2 linked regions of the Nothobranchius furzeri genome follow. The protein of the gene in region 1 interacts with the protein of each later gene in a biochemical or structural test. Links are inferred from orthologs where the notes say so. Each region holds a gene or a part of one and is shown in the gene's direction. Other genes may lie near its edges. The genes, in order: mapkapk2a and zfp36l1a.

The links.
Region 2: of the proteins of mapkapk2a (region 1) and zfp36l1a, one has a biochemical effect on the other in vitro, tested with the Homo sapiens proteins (2 studies listed by BioGRID). The link is inferred for Nothobranchius furzeri from reciprocal best matches to the Homo sapiens genes MAPKAPK2 and ZFP36L1.

What each region holds. Positions count from the first base shown.
Region 1 is NC_091743.1:50,981,803-50,986,082, reverse strand, and holds the start of mapkapk2a (MAP kinase-activated protein kinase 2), read left to right. Parts: upstream 1-1,310; 5' UTR 1,311-1,542; coding exon 1,543-1,788; intron 1,789-4,280. UniProt on the Homo sapiens protein: Stress-activated serine/threonine-protein kinase involved in cytokine production, endocytosis, reorganization of the cytoskeleton, cell migration, cell cycle control, chromatin remodeling, DNA damage response and transcriptional regulation.
Region 2 is NC_091758.1:21,529,064-21,533,403, forward strand, and holds zfp36l1a (mRNA decay activator protein ZFP36L1a), read left to right. Parts: upstream 1-1,313; 5' UTR 1,314-1,445; coding exon 1,446-1,496; intron 1,497-2,446; coding exon 2,447-3,505; 3' UTR 3,506-3,737; downstream 3,738-4,340. UniProt on the Homo sapiens protein: Zinc-finger RNA-binding protein that destabilizes several cytoplasmic AU-rich element (ARE)-containing mRNA transcripts by promoting their poly(A) tail removal or deadenylation, and hence provide a mechanism for attenuating protein synthesis.

The sequences.
Region 1 (4,280 bases):
GTGTTGATGAGATAATTACTTTATAAGCTGGAAGTCCCACCAGTACTGGAATTGTACGCTTCATTTTAGCACTTAGTGTGATTATGAGGACACACACACACACACACGCACACACACGCGCGCGCGCGCACACACACACACACACAGACACACCTACATTTGTGTAAATGTTTTACTAATATATCTGATCAGTTCATTTCGTGTTCTCTTTATCCTAAAGTGTAATTTCATGAAGAGGAATCTAAATGAAAAATACTGAATGATCTAAGTGCAATTCTAAACGACACTGCTACACGTCCCAAACTCTCATTTAAAAACTGAATCAAACTATTGACTTTAAATGAATATTATTTAAGTACCACAAATCAAACAATCTTGTCTTCAGGACAATTTACTTTAAGAAAAACATGTTTATCAATTAAGTTTTGACACCAATAATCTCCCAGTGGAGATAATAAAAGTAAGAAATGTTTGTCATGTATGCGTGTGGTTTTAAATCGACTGTTAAAAAATAAAAAAGAAAAAATATATAAAATTATAAATGAGTGTTCAGTGCCTAATTCCTTATTGGGCCGATCCTTTATTTGGGTCTACCCTAAATGCTCATTCCCACTTCAGAGGGCTTAAATTATCCCATTAACATTTGTTTGGTAGCAGTGCGTCTTCCCAACTAGAAAACTGAAACCGGATTAATGAGTTGAATTCATTTTGATGTGAAACAGTGATGTGGAAACAGAAAAGCCCTAACCTTGAGGTAACCTGTTCCTCTCCTCTCACAGACTAGTCTGCGTCTATTTTGGTCCCTCGCTGTTGCTCTTTAAACGCTGTTAGTGGCCGTGTGGACGTCCCCTTGTTTATGTACTGAATACAATCCAAACAATCAAACTCAACAAACATATAAAACGTGGTTTACTTTATGATTCTCTGGCGATTATCAGCGAGCCAGATAATCCGGTCATTTCCTCTGTGGTACTTCTCCTTTAAGAACAACACAAAAAAAAAACTGCCATGACGTCATGAGTAAACCCTGTCCACCGAAAAGTGAAGTGTGTTTGTCGCGTTAGCTTGGTCGGACTTTTCCTCTCATTTCACGTTATTTTACTAGGTGGTTTTGGTATTTTCAAAGCCGAATTGTGAGATTTCTTGATTTTAGTAGCGTAACACAACATTTTAAGCGACTTGAAGGGTGTTTTAATAAGTTCCTGAAGCGTTTTCGTCTCTTCGATTTTTTGAGGAACCGGTGGAAGGCGGACACTACCGGAGATGGATAAGCTAACAGTTAGCTTAGTTGTTAGCCGGGAATCATAGGTCATAGAATAGGCTCGAGCTAGCATGCTAAAAATAGCTTATCTGATATTTTTCGGATTACCAAGTAACTTTGTTAATCTGTAATTTTAATATTACTGTCGGCTTGTCTCCGGGCCTTAGTCTCTTACGGTGTTCGGTCACCAGCTAAGTCGGGAAGACCCAATTTGTGTTCAAAGGGAAACGACGGAGCGGTGTTGTTGAGTGGTGGCGACTGATTATCTCTAAGCCCAGAACATGAACATGCTAAGTAACCCTCAGAACCAGCCACGGTTTCCGAACCCAGCGGGCCAGCAGAACCCAAGCGGGCAACAGAACCCTCCGGGTCAGTTTGCCCCCTTCATTTCGAAATCCAACCTACAAATCAAGAAGAACGCCATCACAGAAGACTACAAGATAACCAACCAGGTGTTGGGGCTGGGCATCAATGGAAAGGTGTTGGAAATCTACCAGAAGAGCACCGGTGATAAATACGCCCTAAAGGTGAGTTACAGCTGGAAACAACAGTGTGCATGAACTGGTTATTGAAGGTAACACCACTTGAAGTGGCAGTAGAGGATACAGATTTAGAAAATAACACATAAACACACCCTAATCCAGTGGTGTCCAACTCTGGTTCTTGCAGCCCAACTATCTAGCATGTCTTACACTTTTGTGTGCTCCAGATGGTAATCATTGACTGATTAACAAGATTCTACAGAACTTGAAGACATGCTTAACAAATAATTCAAACACTGAGTCGGATGTGTTGATGCAGGAAAATGGCAAACATGAGTAGGAGTTGCCCTTATGAACAGCACTGTTCCCTTTGAGAAGACCTCCCATTTTGGTATATTTTTATAAATTTTGCTACAAATGTGTTAACATTAATATAATTTAATTATATAAAATAGCATTTCCACCTAGCTGTGACGGATAATGGCGAACTTAAAAAAAATAAAACGTAGATATTTAGTAGTGCTGGGTATCGATTCAAATTTCCAGAATCGAGTCGACTCCGATTCTTGAGATTTAGAATCGATTATCACTATGTAACCTGATCGATTCTGATCCGATATCGATTCGATTCGGGTCATCAATTTAAAAACATTTTTGCAGTTACCTTAATTCCATGACTGCATAGTTGTGCAGTGTATTGATAATATTGACATTCAGTGATAAATTAATGAAATATTGGCCATTAAACATGGTTGTAAAGATCAGTCCCTCTCACAGAATGTAATAATAATAATAAATAAATAATAAAGTCCCATTAGTTGTCACACACACAGGTGTGTGTGCAAAATTTGTTCTCCGCATTTGACCCATCCCCTGGGGGATGGGGTGAGCTGCAGACACAGCCGCGCTCGGGAACTATTTGGTGGTTTAACCCCCCAATCCAATCCCTTAATGCTGAGTGTCAAGCAGGGAGGCATTGGGTCTCATTTTTTCAAAGTCTTTGGTATGACCCGACCTGGAATCGAACCCCTGATCTCCCAGTCTCAGGGCGGACCCTCTACCACTAGGCCACTGAGAAAGGTAATTAATGATGTCAAGTGTTTCCAGTGTTTTCTAGGACATTATTAAATTCAGACGTTAGGAATTCAGCCAAAAGATATTGCTGTTGAAAGCAAATGCCATTTTTATTCAAATAAGTTTTACCATATGACAAAAGACATTATTTGCCAGTGCAAATGTAAACAGAAACAGAAAGCTCAAAATTAACTGCTTTCGTTTTACTTTGTGCAAATAGAAATTAAAAGGTACAGAACCTTAAACAACTGTTTCACAGTCTTGTGCAAAAACTTAAACACTTCAGGTATCCAGAAACATTCAAATGCCGATAAAGTACAAAAATGTAAACTTGTGAAAACTGAAAGGCATTCCATATTGATGTACAAACAAAATAGAACAGGAACATAAACTTGACTAAAGACAGACTGTGTAAACTGTCCTTATGTACATCACTTGCGAATGGTAAGATTCTTCTGCAGGAAAAGTAACTGATTCACATGACCAGGGGTGAGACAGCTTCTTTTTGCAGTAATTATATCACCTGCAGTTGAAAAAACCCTCTCAGATACGACACTGGTCCCAAAGACACAGAGATATCGCTTAGCCATGCGAGCCAAAAGAGGATACTTTTTCATTCTCTCTCCACCAGACCAGAGGATTGTCCTGCAGTCCTGCAGGTTTCCTCGCCCTGTACCTCTTGATCTCATCTTCTGCCACCTCTGCACAAGTTTTCTTTGCATGCCCCCTCTCCTCTCTTGGTCTGTAGTCTTCCCCAAGGAGAGACTCCAAAGCACTGGATTGCTTGGGGTTAGGTGCAGGGGGGTTGTTTTCCTCCTCTTCCTCCATTTCATCAACTTCATCTTGCTGCGTGAGAGAGAAGAAATACTTATATGTGGTGTTGTGCAACAATAGGCTTTGGTTTGGCAATGAATAACTTAACATAACATAAATCTGTCATTTTGATCTATAAAGTCAGACAACCACTTGGATATCAGGAAAAGTGTTCAGTCTTGGCTATAACAGAAGGTGCATCCTCACACCTGTAACCATCATCTCATCTGGCAGGAGAACAATGATGAATACATTTCAGTTAAGAAAAAGAAAAACAGAGTTGTGCAGTTGACTGCAATCTATTTTATTGCACACGAACACAGTCAGCAGTGTAAAATGAGCTAAACAGTGCAAAATATCAGTCCAGAATAATTTTTTGGCATCAAAATATAAGAGGTAAATTCCATAAAAAATAATGTAGAATCTAGAATAGAGTTTGTAAGTGGTATGCATTGCTGGGGGGTGAGTGTCTTGTTCCCCATGTAGTTGTCCATCGTTGCTTGTTTTTTTTTCTGCATGAGAAACACAAATAGACTGAAATAAGTACACATATAAAATAAAGCAGCACACACACTACAACACTAAATCAATATTATATTATTTGAATTAACAATATACAGTGATCATTTATTTTGACAAAAATGTGTTGT
Region 2 (4,340 bases), on another chromosome or scaffold:
CAAAAACAACCTCCCTCGCCTCCCCCACCACTGCAGGCAGGGAGACAAAGATCTCCACCCCCTATGTGGCTCCTGTGCAGGCAAAAGAAGAGGAAGGGGAAAAGGGAATGTTTTGCCTCTACCCCCACCCCTCTCCCCTCACCTCCCCAGGGCAGTGCTGTGTAGTAATAAACGTCCCCCATAAATCTTCCCCTCATGCCATCATCCCCCCACCCCTCATAACCCTGCCTTTCTTTTCTCCCCCCCTCCCCTCCTCCTCCTCCCTCCTCTCCTTTCTACTGCAACCCAACCCTGACATAAACACATGGCCGATGGCTTCTCTGTCATGGATTTGGAAGGCGGGAGGAAGTCAGAACCAGAGCCACAATAGGTTTGTATAAGTTTCACAGTCCCAAAGCCTGGCTCTTTCTTCTGACCCTGAATGCGTCATGATGACTGACTTGTGGTTAAATCTGGTGAGATCACTTGTGTATCAAATTATCACCCACCTGGTGAGGCGATATGAATTTGAGAGAAGCTTGAATGAGTTGTGGTGACAAAAACATATATATATATATATATATATATATATATATATATATATATATATATATATATATATATATATAAAGAAAGAAAACAGGAGTACAAAAATGTCGGGGAAAGAGTTAAAAAAAAGAACTCTGCAACCACCGGAAAGTCCCACGAGTGACGTTACAGTCCAGCAATTAGGAGTAAATTAATTACAGAGTAGTGGATGGTAGCTTAAACCCTGAGGATAATGTATCGCCTCCCAGTAAACAACTGAAGAGTTCCATTAGAGGGAAAACAGGAAGTCACAGACTTTGTTTAATCTCTGTGTGGCAAAATCTACAATCTGCAGCTCTAGCTTTTAATATAATGTTTATTGTTTACACTTTTCCATCACTGGGTGACTTTTTTGTGTCAAATCCACACAAATTAGTCTTTAAGGAGGGAAATGCGGAACAGATGTGGTTCTCCACACACACACACACACACACACACACACACACACACACACACACACACACACACACACACACACACACACACACACACACACACACACACACACACACACACACACAACAAGTGTTAAGGATTCACAACACGTCCAGCAGCGTAACCACGTCAAAGAAACTGACTAACCCGGGCTACAAGTTTGGCTTCAAAAGAGGAGCCGGGAAGAGGGGGAAGGAAAAAAGAGAAAAGTTTCTGAAAGTTAACGCCCAGAAGTTCAGGCTCCTCCTGCCCGCTCTTCAAAAGCAAATGTCGACGCTAAAGTGGGGCAGAGGGGGAGTCTGCAGGGTGTAAAATACACAGGAGCTGCGAATCAGAAACTCCGCAGACCTGCGCAACTCTTTAACAAGCACCGGTTGTTTTTTTTTTTTTTTTAGTTTTTTTTTTCGTCAGTAATTCTTTACTCACAACCTGCCGCCGTAAAGATGACCACAGCCGTGGTGTCGCCGTTCTTCGACTTCGAAGTAATAAACAAGGTACTTTTAAACTTTGTGCATCTTTAGCTGTGAACTCTTGCTAGCTGCGGCCCTCTCTCTGGCGCTAACGTGGACGCTGCTGTTGTTTTTTTGCTGTCTCGTCTTGCTTTTTCCCCCTTTCCTCTGCCTTCTTACAGCTTGTTTGTGTCGTTTCCTTCTCCTGGAGCGTTTATGTGACACAAATGCCTCGTGAGTCTGTCGTCGCGTGACGTTACCATTAGTAGAAGTTTCAGCCACAGCGCGTGCCACATCACCTAGCCGTGCTTGACATGCTATCACGCATTTCATTCAAGTTCAGCGGTGGTTTAAAGTTGGCTGGAGTTAATTCGGGCTGGGTTGGATTTTGTTGGGGAAAGTTTTGCGCCTCTTTTGTGTCCCGCAGTTGTTGCTAATCATTGACCAAATGTGTCGAGCCTTAGTACGCGCTTTCCTCCTGGGAAAACCGTAAAACACTGGGAAGTTCATGTGAGGAGAACGTGTGTGAGATTCGCCTCGTTTGCATGCATTTCCCTCGGTATCCGACTGCTTATCAAGCAAGATTTTCCCGCTTTTGTAGGGATTAACTGTTTTGTGTTCATGTAAATCAGCAACCAGCAGGTAAGCTGCAGAGAGGGCTCGCCATGTGCAACCCAACAGGATGCTTCGCTGTTTTAGTACCAGATTTGAAATGATGCAGCCTTGCTGGCAGCCCACAGGCCTCTCGTGCGCTGCAGCTCCATTTAGTAAGCAGGCACACATTCCTACCCAGGGTAGCCAGCCAAACCAGCTGCTGCTCTATAGGCCTGTATCCGTTTATGCTGTCAGAGCCAAAAAGAACAGTCATGCAATAGAAGGTGGAGGTTTCTTTTTTTTCTGGCCTGCCTTTTTATAAACTTGCACGTTCTGCCTGTGCTATAAAGTATTTGTAGAATGTGTGCTAATAACATGTTTTGTTTTGTTTTTTCTTGCAGAATAATAAGCTTCTCAGCTACAACAACAACAACAACCTGGGTGCCCCTCACCCCATGTCTGTCCCTTGCACTGGCACAAACGTGCCCATTTCCAACGCCGCCGGATCCCTGCTGGACAGGAAGGCGGTGGGGTCTCCCTCAATGGGGGGTGTGTACCATCGGCGGCACTCTGTCAGCATCACAAAGTTTAGCCAGAATCAGTTTCTGAACAGCCTGAAGGCAGTGGACCACTCCTCGCTCATCTCAGGGCCTGGCAATGCCAGCAACAACAAGGAGAACCGCCTGCGAGACCGCTCCTTCTCTGAGATGGGTGAGCGGCTGATCAACAAGTGCCTGGGCCCGGCCAGTCCCACGTGCGGCAGCAGCCAAGTGAACTCCAGCCGTTACAAGACCGAGCTCTGCAGGCCTTTTGAGGAAAACGGTTCCTGCAAATATGGTGACAAATGCCAGTTTGCACATGGGATCCATGAACTGCGTAGCCTGAGCCGGCACCCCAAATACAAAACTGAGCTGTGCCGCACCTTCCACACCATCGGATTCTGCCCGTACGGGCCTCGGTGCCATTTCATCCACAACGCAGAGGAGCGCCGCGGACCTCCCCAGCAGTCCTCCCCTCTAAACTCTTCAAACAAGATCGAGAGGCCTCGACTGCAGCACAGCTACAGCTTTGCCGGGTTCTCCAGCTCAGCTGGGCTGAGAGAAAGTCCCACCTCAGTCACCCCACCTCCCATGTTCTTCCCTGATGAGGTCCCAGATTGGCCCAGCAGTAACCCCTTCACCTATTCCAGCCAGGAGCTGGCCAACCTGTTTGGGCCAAGCCTCGGTGCTGGTTCTGTAGGCACAGAGCCCAACACCCCTGCACCTCCATCTCCAACAAGCTCGTCTTTTCTGTTCAGACCTATGTTGGAGTCCCCACAGATGTTCGAGTCGCCATCCAGCCCTCGAGACTCCCTGTCAGACCAAGAAGGTTACCAGAGCAGCTCTGGCTCAGAGTCCCCCTCGCTGGACACCACCCGCCGCCTTCCCATCTTCAGCCGCCTCTCCATCTCCGACGACTAGACCGCCTGCAGCCTCCAGTGACTTTTTAAGTTTAATGACGCAAAGAGAACATGGCTCTCCCCTCTACCTCCTCCTCCCCATCTTTCAGTTTCCCACCGAGTCCCCCGTCATTGTAAGGATGTAATCAATGAAGGGAGCTTTTCTTAAATGATCATTTCATCCCAGCTGATCTGCACATCTCATTTAAAATTCTGCCATGTGTCATAGTGCCAAATGAGAAGTGGAAATTGAACAGTGAAAACAAGAATTAACTTTGTCCAGGTGCCACTTGCATTTTTCCTCTTTACACCCCCCCCCCCCCCCCTTTCCTCTTCAGTTCTTGAATGTGTAGCAACAAGTGGCCTTGGAAAAGGGGAGTGCGATGCACGAACCCCCAGCCCCCTCTTGCCTTCTCTGCCCTGATGATACCACTTCCCCCTGAGCAGGCTAGATGGTGCTCACTAATGTAATTGTAGCTCTACCGCAGATGTTTTTGCAGACTCGATGCATAAATGATATAAAAAAAATGATAGACCCTGAAAATATATGAAAAGGTTTTAAACAAAAATAAAAAAAATAGTGCCTGGGGCGGTTTCTGCATGTGTTTAGGGTGAGTGGACTACTGTGTTTTTTCTCTCTGCTCCTACCCCACTGTCAGTTCTTCTAAAGCCCCGTCTTATGTAACTGAACTGGGTGAGTCTGCAGGAAGGACTTTGAACTGGAAGTTGGTTGTGCCCCCCGCCCTCTCCCGAGTTTTCTCCTGTTGCTGGTCACTGGCTTATTTTTATTTTTTTTGTTCTTTTATTTTGGGAAGGAAGTCTTGATATCGAACTGATCATTAAACTTGTACGACTTT